Linked DNA regions of Caenorhabditis elegans. The protein of the gene in region 4 interacts with the protein of the main gene of each other region in a pairwise test. Each region holds a gene or a part of one and is shown on either strand. Other genes may lie near its edges.

Region 1 (3,512 bases), on a different chromosome or scaffold from region 4:
TTTTTTGAATATAAAATGGCCAAAATTAATCTTTTATTTGGAAAATCTTGGGCTCACTAGCAGTGCAAAAAAAGAAACTTACTTGTTAGAACTGCCTAACAACAGTGATTCGTTTTGTGAATAAATAGGATCTTCCGAAGACATTTTCTTATATTTTAACAAAAGATAAACTTATCAAAAAGGGTTGAAAAATGAATATAGTTCGTTTTGAAAGAATTGGGTTCGGCAGCAGGCTTGCTTCGTAGACATGCAACAAGGAAGTATTCGTGAAAATCTAAGAAGTTGAAAAAGTTGTAATCTTTAAAAAACGTAACTGTGATCTTTATTGCCTCTCGTCTCGTAAATCACGGAATTGAAGAGATGTGCATGGCAGTAGAGCATGTCGGTGGTAACGATACAGGTGAAAAGTAGGCCAAATTTGTATTTATCAGTTTACCGAAAGATTTTTAATCAAAAGATTTCTAGATTTTTAATATCGGAGTTTTCTCCGTTATATATTCAATCGTTCTTGCTTTACGCTTATTGGAAGTGCGATATAATTATAATTATTTTATTTCATTTTGAAGATGTTGAAGAAAAGAAGCAAAGCGATGCAAACGGCGCGTTTGCAAAATGTCTTATTTTAATATACATGCATACAAAGAAAGCACATTATCATTTCATAATTAGAGCTCTGATCGCAGAAAACAAGCGAGAAGTGCATTGCGAGATTTCCAGTTTTTCCACATCAGTTATTATTTTCGAACTCCACGAAATCCTGAAAATAGAGTAATAGTTAAATTAAATTTTGGATAAGAAGCACAAAAACTCACAATCAAAAATGTGGCTCCCAGCAGTATCGCTTTGAGCTTGACATCAAGGTCGATGGGAACTGAAATTCTTTCAACTATTCTTTCACTTTCAAGACTAACTCACAGGTGACTGCAAAAGTGTCGGCATCGGTAAACGCTTCACGCAATAGTCCACCCCACTTCTTGGTTATTGAGCCAATTGGCACGGAGCTGTCGGGAGTTTTGATCTGAAAAGTATGGAGTATTTTAAATTCGGCAAAGTCTTGTCACCGTAAAATCCTTATCTTCACAGCAGCAACTTGTGCAACATCCTTGACCATCAACTAGGAAAATCAGATTTCCATCTTTATCCAAAATGTTATAGAATGAATTCGTGCAACCATATCCTTGAAGGACAGTACCCAGAAGGCCAGTTGATAGTGATTCAATGGTGCATATGTTTTGAAGACCTAGCAAGCATCCACAAAATGAGTCTGCGCAGCATCTTAATTCTCGTTTGACGATGAGCACATTCTTAACAAAACAAATGTTTTAAAAACTTAATTTAAAAGAATTTTCAAGAAACTTTAGGAATGTTTTCCTATTATTACACATCCCATGAAATAATCAGGAGTTAAAAAGTGATAAGAACTCAAGCTTCATGGCTTAGAAATCTGCATCTCTAGGCCATAACTCACCTTGTTAAAATTATCCACAATGTGCATCGTAAAACCTCGTTGCGATCCACAACACTGTCTCTCCCAAGCGTTGGATTCTTCGAACGCATAGTAACACTGCTGTCCATTTTTATTTCTAATAGCATACTTATTTTTACTCTCCCATCCAGTAAGAATCTCAAGAACCTCCTTCACTTGATGCACCATGACCGTGTCCAAGTAGGCAAGGTATTCCAACCCTGCTGGGATTCCCTCAATCGCTGGAAGTGCTTCCATCCAAATTGCTCCGGGAGCTGCTTGTATAGAAGCTCCTGGTTCAGTTGTTATGGCTCGGTCTTCAATTTCAACGTAATCAGGTGGTCCATTATAAAATAGTTGATCCATTATTTCGAATCTGAAACTTATAAAAAACGGGTTGCTGATTGTTTGAAATTGCGCTTAACTAAGCAAAGATTGGTCCGAATTCTTAAATTTCATTTTGTTACAAAATTGGTGCTCAAAAATAGAAAAAATAGATAAAAGAGTTTACTGACTACTCAATAATTTTACTCGGCTCATCGAGCTCTAAAACTGATAAAAATAGAGGTAAAAAAAATTTCGTCGAAATAAACACTTAAAAACGCATATTGATATTTTATAACTCATAAATCCGTGGGGTTTTCTTCAAACACTACAGAAATTACAGTAAAAACTATTGCTTTAGATCGAAAAAAATTGCTGAACAGTTGAAACCGGAAAACTGGTCAAAAGTAGGAAACATTCGTTGTTTTTATTGATGCTCAAAAAACATGAAACAGAGAAAAAGCGGGTTCAGAAAGTGGGACCAGCGAATGTGTTCGGAAAGTGAGAGGCGCATAGACGAAGAGGGAAGCTAGACACACATACTTTGAAAACAGCACAAGGTTCAGGGTACTCGTGTACTAAAAATTGAGAGAATTTTTTCAATTTATAACATTTTCATACGAGAATTCATTTGCAATTACCTAGAAGCTACCAGGGGTCACCACATTTCTCTTGGGAATTATCGAAAATTTATTCCTGAGTCATCAACTAACATTCCATTTAATTCCCTCATAAACTTTATTCATTTTCAGTCAAAATGTAAGTCAGCAGTTCTCTTCGTCTTAACATATCCTCCATGTCTTGGCTTATGATCCACATCATCATCGAGCCTCTCCTCGAACTCTGAAACTTCTACAGGAGCGACATGGGTAGCTGCAACCGGTTGCTTCACACTCTCCAATTCGGATTTAGTTTCGTTAGTGGAAACAGAAGCGGGGGTGTACTTGGATGGTTTGATCTGCAATTTAAAAATTGGAAAAAAAATCAATAACTGTTTTTGTAACTCACATTTTTCCACTCCTTATCAAACTCATCACTTTCCACAGAAACCGATGGTTTAGCTCTACGAGAACTGTGCTCCGTCTCGTGTCCTTTCTCCAAAAGTGCCAACATAGCTTCACGTTCCTCTTCAGCTTTACTGATCATCTTGTGTTTTCGTTGCTTGGCACACACGTACATCCAAATAAGACACAGGGCAATACAGAAGCACCAAATGAGAAGGACAAGGAGTAGGATGTAGATAAGGATGTTCGCATCGATTCCTGTAAGAAAATTGGTAACGGTATAGCTGGCAACAGTGCTGACGAGTTAACTTATAGTTAGTGTAGATACTTTCTCCAGAATGTTGTCAGCTTTCTGGCGCAGTATTTTAGATAGGTATGTGCTAGGGCTTCCATGAAGTCGCCGCAACGGCGCATCCGCTGGCCTCAGCGGTCACCGCGCCGGCCTCACGGCGTCACTCAAGCCGCATGTATCCGAATGTATAGTGAACCCCGACAGTGTCGGCTGCTTCAAATAACTGCCTTTTTGCATTTGAATATATTTTGAATACACATTCGAATACACAGCGGTATCAGCGTGAGGCCCGCATTTCGCGCCTCACTCAGCTGGGATTCCTAGTCTGTCCAATCATTCTTTGGTCGCAGGCGGCGCAAACCCACTAGGCCTTTATCAATTAATCTCAAATTACCAAATTTCAAACGCGCACTACGTGAAAGCTGGT
Region 2 (2,740 bases), on a different chromosome or scaffold from region 4:
TTTTATACAAAATATGGGTACGTCTTTCCTAATATAAAGCCTCCTCAAACTTCAATCAATCAAAACTCAGCTTTAACTGATTCATCGGGTGCATCTGTTTTTGGTCAAACCGAACTCAAAAAACAAGAAGACTCCAATTATAGAATTACATTCGATTCTACAGAATTTTTTTTCATGTTTCGTAGTAGACTTGTCTCAGAAACTTTTAGCTCAGTTTTTTGATTGAACAGGAAGCTTTTGTCTCCTAGAAAAAATTTGTTATATAATTCTGAAAACGCTCAAAATTTGAAACAAGTCCCCGACAAAACATTTTGAAAATAGCTCAACTACTGACAATTGAGTTTCCCATTGAAGGTAGGCATGTTCGCTTACCGCCTACCGCCGGCAAGGCGCATTTACGATTTTTAACAGCTTTTCACTTGCACACAAGCTATAAACCCCGCCACACCGACAAAAATGATTTTATTTAAAATCAATAATCTCATAAAAATTTTTATCATATGAAAAGTACCATAAAGTAAGCTTTCTTAGCTAGCAACCATCTTGACAACGACTTCTCCTTGTTGAGCACCAGCCGCAAACGGAGCCTTCGGATCGGTCTCATCAGCTGGAACTTCGGCGTATTGAATGACAAGCTTGTCCTCCTTCGCTGGTCCAGCCAAACGATTCACTTCGAGCTTAGCCTTTCCCTTCGCATCAACGAATCCATAGACTGGGCGAACACGATACGATTCATTGTTGGACGACTTGACTTTGAATGCCAAACGAGATTCCGATTCGGAGACAATGTAGTGAGTTGATGAACCACCAGAAGCTGGGTAGTCGCCGGATGGTGGATCGATGTTGATCATTTGTAGACTTATTTTTGAGGAGACAAAGTTGATCACCAAATAGATGTAAGGGAATGATTGGATATGGAGAAGGAAGGGGACAAATCAACATTTTGATGAACTTTACTGATAAGGAAGTTAAGGAGAGGTTACGTTTTCATTTTATTGTTATTTTGTTTATTTAAATGTATTTTAAATACTTCTAATTGTAAAACAAAAATAAACTAGTTTTTTGCAACCAATTTACGTGAAAACTGTATCTCGATAAAAATCCAATTTTCAAATAAATGAAACAATACCAAGTTTTTCAACAAAGATGAAATTTATTCAACTTGCGCTGTTCTTTCTTATTGGAATATCAACTACGGATACATCGAACAAGACTCAACAAATTTTCAAGAAAATTGGAAAACGATTCTCGCTGAGTGAACATGGATTAATCCAACGGTTTAAGTTTTATTGGAAGACTCAGGAGGATGTGGATGCTGCAAGAAATCATTCGGCTCAATTGGTGGCTCTTCACTTGTTGAGACAATCATCGAATCACAATTATAAGTTTCAAGAGAGTGCTGATATTTTGTATAGTCTGATGGATATAAACTTCGAGGGAAAGATATGCGGTGGAATGGAAATGCTGAATTTCTGTAAGTTCAACTTTTACAATTGCGTATTGCCGTTTTTGGTCCAGAATTTAAAAAAAAGATTGAATTCCAGATCAAATGGCTGAATTCTGGAAACGACAACGAGGGACGTACCGGAGAAATTCTGGAGAGGTAGGCAGTAATTTTAAACACTCACATATCATTTTATTTTTCAGAAAGTTTCCTGGAGTCCTGTTCCAACGGAGAGTATAAATGACAATATATTCCTGGTATCGTTTATGGCACATTCCACTTGGGAGTACTCTTCAAAGATATCTTATCTTGTTAAAATGGAACTTCTCGGAGAAAAACCATACAGCAACTACACACTGACAAGGATTGAAGAAGTTGGAGCATGTACAGAGTATGGTGTTACGAATCTGGAAAACACTGATATATTTTTGGATCTTCATGAAACTGACCCAGAGAGAGTTGATACAAGGAAAAAAGTATTCAAACATTTCTATGAACTATTCACAATGGATAGAGAAGAGTCTGTAATCCCATTTAATTGGCTATCTTATACCGGTGTATCTGCTGATCTCGACATTCAAGTGTGTCACGGGAGTGAGTTGAAGAAAATCGGAAAGTATAATTTTATCGATTGGTGGCTCTGGTTCCAGAAGATGTATCATCCGGTGAAAGGCGATGTAAGTATCACAACTATAAAGTTTCACAGAACATTCTTATTTTCCTTTTAAAAGCAACACACAGCGGTGCAATTGACTGGTGGAGAGTACGATCGATTTGTATTCAGAGTAACTATGAGAGTTCAAATTGGTACTTTAATAGATAACCCAGTTGAGGAATTCAACTTCAAGATTCAAGTTAGATATGTACGTGTTTGAAGGAAAAAGAAAGCCATAAAAATTGACACAACTTCAGAATGTTTATGGCGACAAAGAATGGAATATTGATAAGTTCGAAGTGATGTGCCCATTAGTTGCAGTTCCAGAGATTGATTTGATGAAGAAGCACGCAATCGCTTTTAACCAGGTTATTGGAGCAAGGTTTGTGAAATGTTATCAGCTGTGTAGAAGCTAATACTAAGGTCATCATGATAGGCAGATACGTTTTCTTGTTGGAATCCCTTGCCTATTTAGGCCCCTGTCTGTGCTCTTTTAGCGTGACAATAAATGTTTGGGGGTGGACAGCAAGGAAGCAGGTCCCCTTGAAAGCAACTATGCAAACTATTTGTGCCTACCCAGCAAAAATTTATTTAATACTCCCGCCAAAGAAATTCTCACTATCAGAAATTTGAATTTTGAA
Region 3 (7,748 bases), on a different chromosome or scaffold from region 4:
CAAATGTGGGCAATTTTTTTTGCAACACCTGGGCCGGCAATTTCTTAATCACAGCGGTAGCGACGAGAGTTTGAAATTACAGTACTCTTTAGAGACGCAAACCTTTTCGCATTAAATAAAATGAAAGACTAATTTTCAATTGGTCCGTGGGGTGCAAGACTAATAGAGACTAATAGAGGAAATACAGCATATATTTTTATTAGATGGTGCAAAGTCCTATTTTCCCAGAAGATCACATCTTATTAAATTAAGATTCTCTGGTTCGCTGCCCCCTTCTCTTCCAAAGTTTCCTCAAAAATATATCCGAAGGGAAAATAAAAAATAATATGCGCAGACGATAATAAAAAAATATAGACAAAAACCCGATTCTCTAAGAGATCAAGCACGTCGATTACGTTATATTATTTTTCCCCTGTCAAATTTCATTGTTATGCAACATCTGCATGACGTCCATCTTCTGGACAAGACCGAGAGATGATATGGGCGGTCTGTACACGTTTTTTTTCTGTCTTTCAGATATCTCATCGTAATAAGCTTGCAGATATTTTTCTAGTATAGTTTTATCTAACATTTCTGACATTTTCAAAAATTTTCAAAATTGAAGCGAAAAAGTTGGTGGCCGAGTTGTTATTTATTCCCGGCCACATCGCAAAAAAAATCATAATTTACTCTGTTTTTGGAAAATTAGGTAAAAATTACTTTCAAAAACAGTAAACAATGGTTCAAAGTTGCATGTCCAGTTTTTCACTTCGTTCTTGTATACTCCCCCTGGTAAAATGTCTACTTCTATTTGTAAACTTGCTGATTTTTGAATCCTTAATAACTCAGTACCTGTAAGAGATACAAAAATATTGTCAACTATCAAAATAATCAAAATTGTCTCAAAAATATTTTGTCAGTTGACAATATTTTTCCAACTCCTATCCCAACGGAGTTATTCGTTCCATAAGAGATCACATTTTCCACAGACCACACCCCAATTATTTCCAATAAATCAGAAAATAATCAAAGTCCATTATCACTGCTTATCCCGTTAGCCATGTTTCATAGAAGGGCTAAATGATAATGGATTCTTCTTTTTTCAACATTCTCCTTCTCCTTCTTGCCTGTCGGTTTCCTTTTCCGATCCAGAGAAGAAGGGGAAACTTGTCGATTAGCCAGTTCACAAATCAAGAAATACCGGTGGATTCGGAAATTTCTCTTTCTCGAGATTTTTGACATGCTTTCGGTTTGACCCTTCTATGTGTCATTTAAGTTTTTTTTTGTTTATTTTCGTTGGAACATTTTGAAAACTAGTGTAAATCTGTTATTATAAGTTTATTCGTTTATTTAAGTACATTTTCGGTCAGTGGGGTCTAAATAAAAGTTACATTTTTGTGTCCCACTAACTTTTTAACTTTTTTTTGAGAAATTTTCAAAACGTTTCATTAAACGCGGTAGTTTTTGGTCATTTTGGGCATAAAAAGGCAAAGTCTTCAATTTAGGTACTAGAGTTTTTAATATCAGTCCGTCATTTTAGTTTTTGATTTGTTTCCTTTTTTATTTTTAGTTTGTTCCTAAATTCTGAAAGGCTATATCACTATTGTTCTGGATTCTACCAATTAAACTTTGATATAATTTCTTAAAAAATAGTTTGCTCCTAGAAATTGTAAAGTCAAAACCCTTCTTTCTATCCTGTCTGCAACTTTCAATTTTTCAATAAAAACTAAACACAGATATTCTAGATCAATTCCATATGCGAAGGCTTTTGATACATCTAGTTGTCCTTCTAGTACTATTACTAGAAGGACACAATGTTCTAGGGTTTGCAAGTGCGCCAGGGACCTATCCAGAAGAAGAAACACGAGCTGGTAATGATATGGAAGTGCCCAAAAATCCATATGAAAGCACATGGACCGGATATGATTTTTATTATGAAAAGGAGCCAAAGAAGGGTACGTTAGAAAAAATATGCAATTTTTGAAATTTATTTTCCAAATTATTATCAATTTTTCCCTGTAAATGTTGGCCGAGTTTATCTTGCACTTTATATTACGTTTCATTTCCAGATTATCATTTCTCGGCAGTCATGTAGCAAAATCAGAATAGCCTGTCAATAACTTCCTTCTAATTTTCAGTCCCACCCTCCGCAGGCAGCGGAAAAATGCCAGCGTTCCAGTCGATCGCGTCCATCTCAACAGACCGTGAATCTCCAGAAGACCCAGGAAATAGTGGTTATTTAGCGTCCGGAGCCGAATCTGGACCCAAGAAAACCACGTCGAAACCTGCAACAACACCCACTCCAGAACCTACCACTACTCCCGTAGAAGAAGAAAAAGTAAAAGTGTCGCCGAGCAGTAGTACTAAAGGTTGGTGGAAAGTTGAGTTTTGTGGCCACGTAGAAATATCTCACCTATGCACCAGAACACCTAAATAGTGGTTTCACACACACGTGTTTTATAAAACTTCACTCCAGATCCATCAAAGCTGCACAAAACCACCAAAACACCTGTCACTATCACAAATATAATATCAACCACCACTGCACCACCAGCGCCATCTAGAGCACCAGAAAATGATCCGGAATCCGGATCCGACCAATCGGAGAGCACTGATAATTTGGATTTACTTTACGGCGGGGGAAGTTCTGCCACAGCCACCGGGGAGGATAAGAAAGGTATTTGGAATAGGAAAATATAATTGAGTATCTAGAGAATATGTAAAACTAACGTTCTAAATATTTAACATCTGAAAACAATTTTCTAGTAGTGTCACATGTCACATTGTAGATTTTGTGTACTGCCTTTTTCAACTTTTGGAGTTCAAATAAAGATAGGTCTTCTGAATACATGTAGTGGCCATTGTCATCGACATATAAGCGCAAAATAGCGCACAAGTGGACATATAAGCGCAAAATTCAAAGTTAGCCAGATTATCAAACTGTCTTTAAAACCAGCACGGCACTCTACCACTAATAATCCCAACTTTTGCACAGACCCTCCCAAACTGCATGATCCACCTCCACCGCATCCATCTGCACCACAAAACCTTTTAACCCAATTGATTCAAAAGAAGAAGGATGCACCAAACAAAGGATCATCTGAGAAAAGTTCCAAATGGTCAGATGATCATGCTTCCGGGTATCCGGAGGGAAGTGCTCCTAGCGCTGAGCCATCTGAAAACCAGTATGAGCAAGATGGTTCTATTCCATCGTCGAATGACTACAAAGAGCTCACAGATGTACCAGGTACAAAGCCAAGCTCTTCAGCTTCACGTGGTTCAAATATGGCAGGTAACCCCACAGCACCGCTCACCACCACTCAGCACACTTTTGCACCAAACAGCACTGAAACATCAAGATCTTCTACTAGCAGAGGAAAGGCTCCTGGGACCGAACCTAAGTCTGAAGCTCGGTATAGCTCTCAGAATCCTTACTCAGACAACTCGAGCACCCAGAAGCCAGAATACGAATCTGGATACCCAGCGGTGTCTGGAGCAAACTCAAGAGCCCAAATTCCTAATATCACGGACTACACTAAACCATCAGCAGTGTCAATTGAATACGCATCAAGCTCGAAGGAAAGGTCTGATCCTCCATTTTCAACACCCTTAACATCTAATTCACAACATGTACTTACACAGCCAAGGCCAAGGGATTATGAAGATGGCCCGCAGGAGACAACTCGGACAAAAGCTAGTGGCACAAAATCACCTAACTCACTCCAAGCACCTCAACAAACTGCAGCACATCTCATGAAAAATGCCAGAGCACCTGGTCCGGAGCCAAGTCTTCACAGCACTACCACTCACCACGTACAAACACCAATTATCACCATAGCACCCAAGTTTTCAGAACCATCACCATATGCAGAAAATATTATGCTTACACCAAAGCAGGCACCTGGCACCGAACCTCGGTCTAACTCTCAGAACCCTCAAACAGATCGGTTAGCCTCCCAATCAGGATATGAATCCGGCGGGCCTGGACGTCCACAAAATGTTTCAATAAGACACCGAGAGAATCCAAAGGGATCTGATGCAATTTCAAGAACCGCTATTACTCCTTCTAAGATTGATTACTTTGCACCATCGTCACCAACAGGGCCAATTGGATATGAACGTCAAGTCCCGAGTTTCAAGGAAGGACCAGATCATCAATATACAAAATACTCCACGCTCAATTCACCACCTGCACCATCACCACAAGAGTCAAGCACAATCACTCACCATGTCTCCACATCACCCGACTTTTTAGAGCCATCATCAGAAAGTTCTGTGCTCTTACCGAAGCAAGCACCCGGCACCAATCCGAGCACGTCTAATAGTCCACCTGGATATTCTGAACTAATTGGCCCCTCTGGTCCCGGTAATGGTCTACCTGAAGCACCCAGTCACGCCGCACAAAACATTCCCAGAGCACACACGTTTTCAGAGTCACAAGGGTACGAACCGATGGGAAACAATGGGCCAAGTATCTTTGAGGGTCCTGGAACAGAATCTGGATATTCTGAGCCTAAAGCTCTTAGTACTGCGTCACAAAAGACTAAACCAGATGACAAGCCATACGAAATACCACGTAGCATTGAGCCCAGCAATTCGAAACCATATCCATCTGACAGTTCCTGGTCTGACCATGACAATGCTCCTGGCAGTGAGCCAAGCTACATCCCGGACGTTTTAGACTACGGAGCACGAGCCAATAATCACGCGGGCAAAATGATGAATATGTCACATGCCACGTCACCAAGCACCGGTTCACCATCTAACTCGAACAATGCGATTTCCGCACGAGACCCATATGATCACTTTGGCACTATCACTGCACCATCTGACATTCCACGTGCCAATTCAAATTTTGAAGAATACCCGGACGATGGAGGATATGACGGGACGAATGATGTGGCAATTGTGCCTTTGAGGTGATTTTTTGTGGGAAATCGAGTCCTCGATGCATCATGTTTAATCTTGCTCGAAACGCATATATCTCGGAAACTACGAGAGCTATCAAAAAGTTGTCAACTAACAAAATGTATAAAAAAGTTTGGCGAACAATTTGTCAGTTAATAACTTTTTATAGACTTAATAGTTTTGGAGAAAAATCAAGATACAATTAGGCACACACTTTTCAGAACACAGCACGGCACAAATCCTTCCACCATCACTACCACGAACACTCAAGTGAGAGCACAAATTTCAGAAATTGATCGGATTGCTGGTAAATAATATCGATATTCCAAAAATTTTTGGAAGAAAAATATGAATCTTACATTATTTCAGAATCTTTCGAGAACTCGGCGCGGGAACCTGTGGAGTATGAACAGCGAATTACTAGTGAATCATCGAAGGGAATTACAGCTGTAACCGGAAAAGATTTTATGGTTTTATTTTAAAATTTCAGCCGATTTTTTTGAAATATAATAAAAATTAAACATTACAGAAGAAGCTTGGAAGAAAGTCGCCAACATGTTGCTCATGTTGTGACGAGAAGCAGTCTGTGAGCAGAAATATTGAGACACAGGTTTAAAAAAAAGCAGCACTGTTTTAAACTTAATAATTTCTAGGCTGACCCATTGCATGTTCAACACGCAGTCGACCCATCACGGCAGTTAGGTACGTAAGTTTCCTCAAGACTCCCCCGTTGGTCACAAAAATAGGTTCGAATCCTGCCGTGGTCGAAACTTTTTTTTGCAGTCGAATCCGAGCCAGTGCAGAACTTTGTCCCTCTCCAGAACACCGTTGGAGGGAACGCCTATATTCAGCCACAACCAGTCGCTCAACAACAGTAAGTCTTTGTTTTAAATGGAAATATGTCACTTTTTTTCCAGAACCATCTACCAACAACCTTTCCAGCAATACCAACCACAGTACCCACAATCTTATCAGCAACCATCCTGCGGGTGCCAGCCACAGCCTCAAAACTGTTGTGCTCCACCTGCTCCTTGCTGTCTCCGTAAGTGACATAAATAATCCGTACAATTCATTCTTAGAACTATCTTTGTTCAGCAACAATTCCATGTTGTCCACCAATACCTTGCTGCCCGCAACCGAAGATTTGCTGTCAGCCAGCGCCAGTCTGTCTCCCTCCACCAACTTGTTGCTCGATTAACTTTAAACTTCCGACTATTCCAATCTGTGGTAGAGCCTGCCCATCGTGTCCATGTCGACGGAGAATGCACAAATCACGTCGTCTCAAGCGTCACTCAATTAACTCGAACTGTCATCAGTGCTCTTCTGCCGGTGAGCCATGGAGATCTGTGTTGCATCACCGAGAGAAACGTGCAGCTCCGGGATGCACTTCCGGTTTTTCGACGATGGTATGACGTTTCAGAGTGAATGGATAGAACTAAAACTCCACTTTTCAGAGTCAAAATTCGTGTGGCACATGTGGAGCGTCAAATCTCAGATCGCCACGTGTCAAGCGTATGGGATGTCTGCCGTGTCTGGGAAGAAAGAAGCGAGATACCGATGAGAATTCTCATATTAGAGTGAAGAGAATGGTGAGTACTGCGAGCTCACAAAAAATCAATTATCAATTTTCTTACAGGGATGTCTTCCATGCCTGGGTCGTAAGAAACGCAGTACCCTATCACAATCGGGATGTTCTCAATGTAATAGTATGGGTCATTTGTTCAATCGCTACAAGAGGAGTCTATTTGGAGGATGTTCGCCGTGTGCACCACAGGTATGAGATTCACGCCTCCCCCAACTTGACTCGAAAAATGCCTCCAATTAAATGCTAGGTGGAATTCAAATTTAGAAAGTACAATGTAAATAAGTAGCTAACAATAAGATTATAACTTTTGAATAACTTGAAAATCAGTTATGACAAAATGTATACGAAGTTCCGAGTTCCCATGTTACGCCTTGGCCAGGTGAAACTCAACATTGTAATACGAAAACCAACTCTCAAATCTTGACACTTTTCAGCAACCCTGCGGATGTGGCCGTAAGAAGCGATCGGTCACCATGAAGCTCGTCAAGAGAGCTCCGATGCAGTGTGACTCCACATGTTGCGACTTTTCAAGGTGAGCACATCTAAGTATTGACTGTAGTGTAACTAACATTTCCTATATTTCAGATGTCCATATCGCCAGAAGAAAGAAGCGCTGGTGCCGTTTATGTAGAGCTCACAGATGATAAGATCACATCGACGGGTTGTACATACCTCATAGAATCATCATATTGACTGCTTATTTCTCAGAGTGTTTTTGAAACATATTATTAATACAATAAATTGCAATAGTTCATTTTTGAAAATCTAACAAAAAAGTAGTAAGATTAGAAGGACAGAAAAGGAACCGGGTCACCCGAAATTGATGGGATTATGGGCCGGAATGATTGTGTGTGTGAAATTGGAATTATTCAAGGAAGACAACTAGAGATCGCAAGTGATTGTTTAAAAAAATATAAATAAGAAAAAATCTAAAAAGTTATGGACTATGGCTTTTCAAAAACCCATTAATTTTCATGTTCAGAAATTCGTTTGGACTACTCGACGATGCTATTTCAGACGCTAGAGATTGATGTTGTTGTTGATCATCGTAGAGTTGGAGCTGGCGTTGATAACTGGCAATTTCCAGACGGAGAGCCTGAAATTAATATCAATTGTGATCTGAAACAGGGGTGGGCTGCAAACGATTTTTCCGGCAAATCGGCAAATTTCCGGAATTGAAAACTTCTGGCAAATCGACAAGTTGCCGGAATTGAAAACTTTTGGCAAATCGACAAGTTGCCGGAATTGAAAACTTTTGGCAAATCGACAAGTTGCC
Region 4 (2,800 bases):
AAAATCAAAACAAAACGAAAAATCAAATCAAATCATGATTCGAATTTGGAACTTTGAAATTTCAAAGACTTCAAAGGAGAATAAACAGCTAGACAAAAAACTGAACTGAAAAAATCAATATATTTTTAATTTTTGAAGGATTTATTCGCTTAACAAAAGTCGCAAGAAGAAATTATTTTTTCTGAAATATTGTAAGTGAGAGAATGCTGTATGGAGCTTTGGATAAAGTTAAACTTGACGGTCCCACTATTGGCAAAACTATTTGAATTTTATGTTACACCGAATAAATTTGATGAAGTCTGAAAATTGCCGTGCTTATTTGTTTTACGCGTTTAGGAAAATTTTGTTATTTTTAAATTAAAAAATTAAAAACAAAAAGGGATAACAGTTCCAAATAGATTTTCCATGGTTTATGCTTTTTGTTAAATCTTTTTGCAAAATCTTTTTCAAATAAACTGTAAAGCATTTATTGTTAGTAGGATCATATGGGAAGGTTAACAGCTTAGTGCAAAAATTTTACAAAATTGCATCACATTTAATGATGTCCATGGTGTCCATGATGATGATGGCTTTCATAATGGCTTTCGTAGTGTCCTCCGTGATGTCCTCCATGGTGTCCTCCATGATGGTGGCTGTCATGGTGGTGATGGGTGTCCATATGTCCGTGGTGTCCTCCGTCAGTGTGGACATGAACAGTTGGTGGCATGTATCCTGGAGCTCCGTGGACTGGTGGTGGAGCATATCCTCCGTGTCCTCCGTATGGAGCGTTGTATCCTCCGTTTCCGTAGTACGACATTATTTCTAAAAATCAATAAGTTAGTAAAAAAGGATTGGTAAAATAATGTACATCAAGAAATAAGATAAAAAGAAGATTTTGAACAGTTTTGAAAAATAGGTTTATCCAAAAAAGGACCTATTTTTAGATGGAAAGCTGAAAAACTGATGGAGTATGGTCTTCGCGTTTGAGTATTTGAGCAATCTATTCAATGGAGGACACACGTCATAAGTGATAAAACGTTTAAATTATCATGCGCTGGTGGCATTTGGCCCTCCTCCATTTTTTGACGCTCGATAAGTTTATAAGAGGGTGTGATGATATTTTTGTTTGCCTTATTTGTTAGTCACCTTTCTTGTTCAAAACGACAAAGAAGCTCAAACAAACTAAAGGAGCGGAACGGGTGTTACTCATAGGCCAAATGGGAGAGAATGATCCAGAAGACCAGTTCCTCCCTCATGATGTTGAAGTATGATGAAAATGATCGTCACATTGGAAAGTTTTTTAAAACAATAATATTTTTTGTTTCATACATGTTATATCAAATGGGTTGAACATTTTGATAATAAAATAGTGATCAGATCAGATATCTTTTGAGATATTGTAAGACATGCGATGCGCATTCTACGAGCGAACCTTTGTTATTTTCCGATGTTTCCATTAATGTAATAGTCTGACGTTTTCATTTGACGTGTTCTTAAAATATCACTGAATTTCTCAAAATAAAATAAAATCACAACCTATGCGTGACACGTTGAATATTAGTAATTGCAGTAGAAAAAAAACAGAGTAAAACAGTCCTTGTCAACAATAAAACATTGAAATCAAGTTATATCTCAAGTATTTAGATCAATAAGTTTTTCAGATTTTTGGAACACTTGTGACACTCAATAAATTATCCATTGTACACGTATCCGTGGCTTTGTCATTTGCTTTTCACGTATATTCGTTGCGAGGGACTGTTTTTTGACCAAAAAGCAATATCAAAAGAGCATGATAGACTATTTGAGTCGTAATTCAACCCAATATGATCATTTTTATTTGTGTGTTTTCCGTAGACAATATAATTGACTTGTTTTCCTTAGTTACAGTTGTCAGGGTATTTATTTTGGGCTCAGTTACTTCTTTAAAACAATTATTTTTGATTGGAAATTAGTCTTTGTTCTAAAGGTAAACTGTTTGTCAATTAGTTCCTGTTAAATTCTAGTATGCATTTAATAATTCTTCAGTGCTTAATGTCAAATTGGCTGCACGGAAAGGTTAAGCGTTTCTTTCTTGATAGGTTGGGCAGATAACACATTGGAAACTGAACTTTACACTAGACAAATGTCAGTATCGAATAACTTTATTGGGTTTTGTGTTCACAAACAACTGAATGAAAAAAGAACTGAATCAATAATATATCTATTATGGAATGGGACCAAGTCTTTCTGAAAAGATTATCTATCTTCGTCACAGAAATTAAAATGAATAATTTTTTAAAAGAGTTATTTCATTTTTGTTGTAAAAACTCTTCCGAATGCATTATGTTCAACATAACTAATTGGTATATTCTGTAAAATTATTATATTTTTGTAATGAATGGACGAAGCATATGTGAACACTTATCCTTTCGGATAAGTTTCTTTCTTTTTTCTTTCTTCCTTTAATAACGGTAGGCAATAATAAAAGGATTTATTGATGTAAATAATAAAAATAAACAGAAAATATCAGTCGAAGCGCTTTAGAAGGAAATTATATCATATCTCTACATCAACATACATCCTACATCAAACATACATCTACTGAGTTCTCTTGGGTTTTTATATGGATTGGAATAATATGTAAATGAACACATAAGAGGTGATTAGCATCTAATATGTTAATCGGAATTAACAATACAGGAGAAAACTATTTGATATTATTGATATTTGATCATCGAAAGAGAGGTCTTTCGACACTCCCAAGAAAGTGAAGAAAGGAAAAGAGAAGAAAGAGCTAGACATAAAATTAGTGATAGTCTAACGAAAATTAAGATTTTGTTCC

What was found.
Region 1: the proteins of F53A9.6 (region 4) and scrm-2 interact in a two-hybrid assay, tested with the Caenorhabditis elegans proteins (one large-scale study listed by BioGRID).
Region 2: the proteins of F53A9.6 (region 4) and ssp-31 interact in a two-hybrid assay, tested with the Caenorhabditis elegans proteins (one large-scale study listed by BioGRID).
Region 3: the proteins of F53A9.6 (region 4) and K08E7.5 interact in a two-hybrid assay, tested with the Caenorhabditis elegans proteins (one large-scale study listed by BioGRID).

What each region holds. Positions count from the first base shown.
Region 1 is NC_003279.8:13,233,686-13,237,197, reverse strand, and holds scrm-2 (Phospholipid scramblase), read right to left. Parts: upstream 1,851-3,512; 5' UTR 1,832-1,850; coding exon 1,469-1,831; intron 1,305-1,468; coding exon 1,062-1,304; intron 1,019-1,061; coding exon 916-1,018; intron 872-915; coding exon 813-871; intron 758-812; coding exon 728-757; 3' UTR 535-727; downstream 1-534. Other genes in the region: ZK1053.2 (uncharacterized protein), read right to left, coding at 2,538-2,747, 2,798-3,051.
Region 2 is NC_003279.8:13,217,252-13,219,991, reverse strand, and holds ssp-31 (Sperm-specific class P protein 31), read right to left. Parts: upstream 852-2,740; coding exon 528-851; downstream 1-527. Other genes in the region: ZK1225.5 (FSA_C domain-containing protein), read left to right, coding at 1,147-1,474, 1,545-1,603, 1,648-2,121, 2,176-2,307, 2,357-2,481.
Region 3 is NC_003282.8:12,571,646-12,579,393, forward strand, and holds K08E7.5 (Prion-like-(Q/N-rich)-domain-bearing protein), read left to right. Parts: upstream 1-1,722; 5' UTR 1,723-1,735; coding exon 1,736-1,934; intron 1,935-2,117; coding exon 2,118-2,348; intron 2,349-2,455; coding exon 2,456-2,656; intron 2,657-2,974; coding exon 2,975-4,898; intron 4,899-5,108; coding exon 5,109-5,194; intron 5,195-5,256; coding exon 5,257-5,357; intron 5,358-5,416; coding exon 5,417-5,497; intron 5,498-5,540; coding exon 5,541-5,589; intron 5,590-5,670; coding exon 5,671-5,761; intron 5,762-5,804; coding exon 5,805-5,929; intron 5,930-5,982; coding exon 5,983-6,293; intron 6,294-6,341; coding exon 6,342-6,476; intron 6,477-6,523; coding exon 6,524-6,661; intron 6,662-6,906; coding exon 6,907-7,004; intron 7,005-7,057; coding exon 7,058-7,103; 3' UTR 7,104-7,225; downstream 7,226-7,748. Other genes in the region: K08E7.6 (Myb_DNA-bind_5 domain-containing protein), read right to left, coding at 7,410-7,568.
Region 4 is NC_003284.9:8,713,009-8,715,808, forward strand, and holds F53A9.6 (Spore coat protein), read right to left. Parts: upstream 797-2,800; coding exon 536-796; downstream 1-535.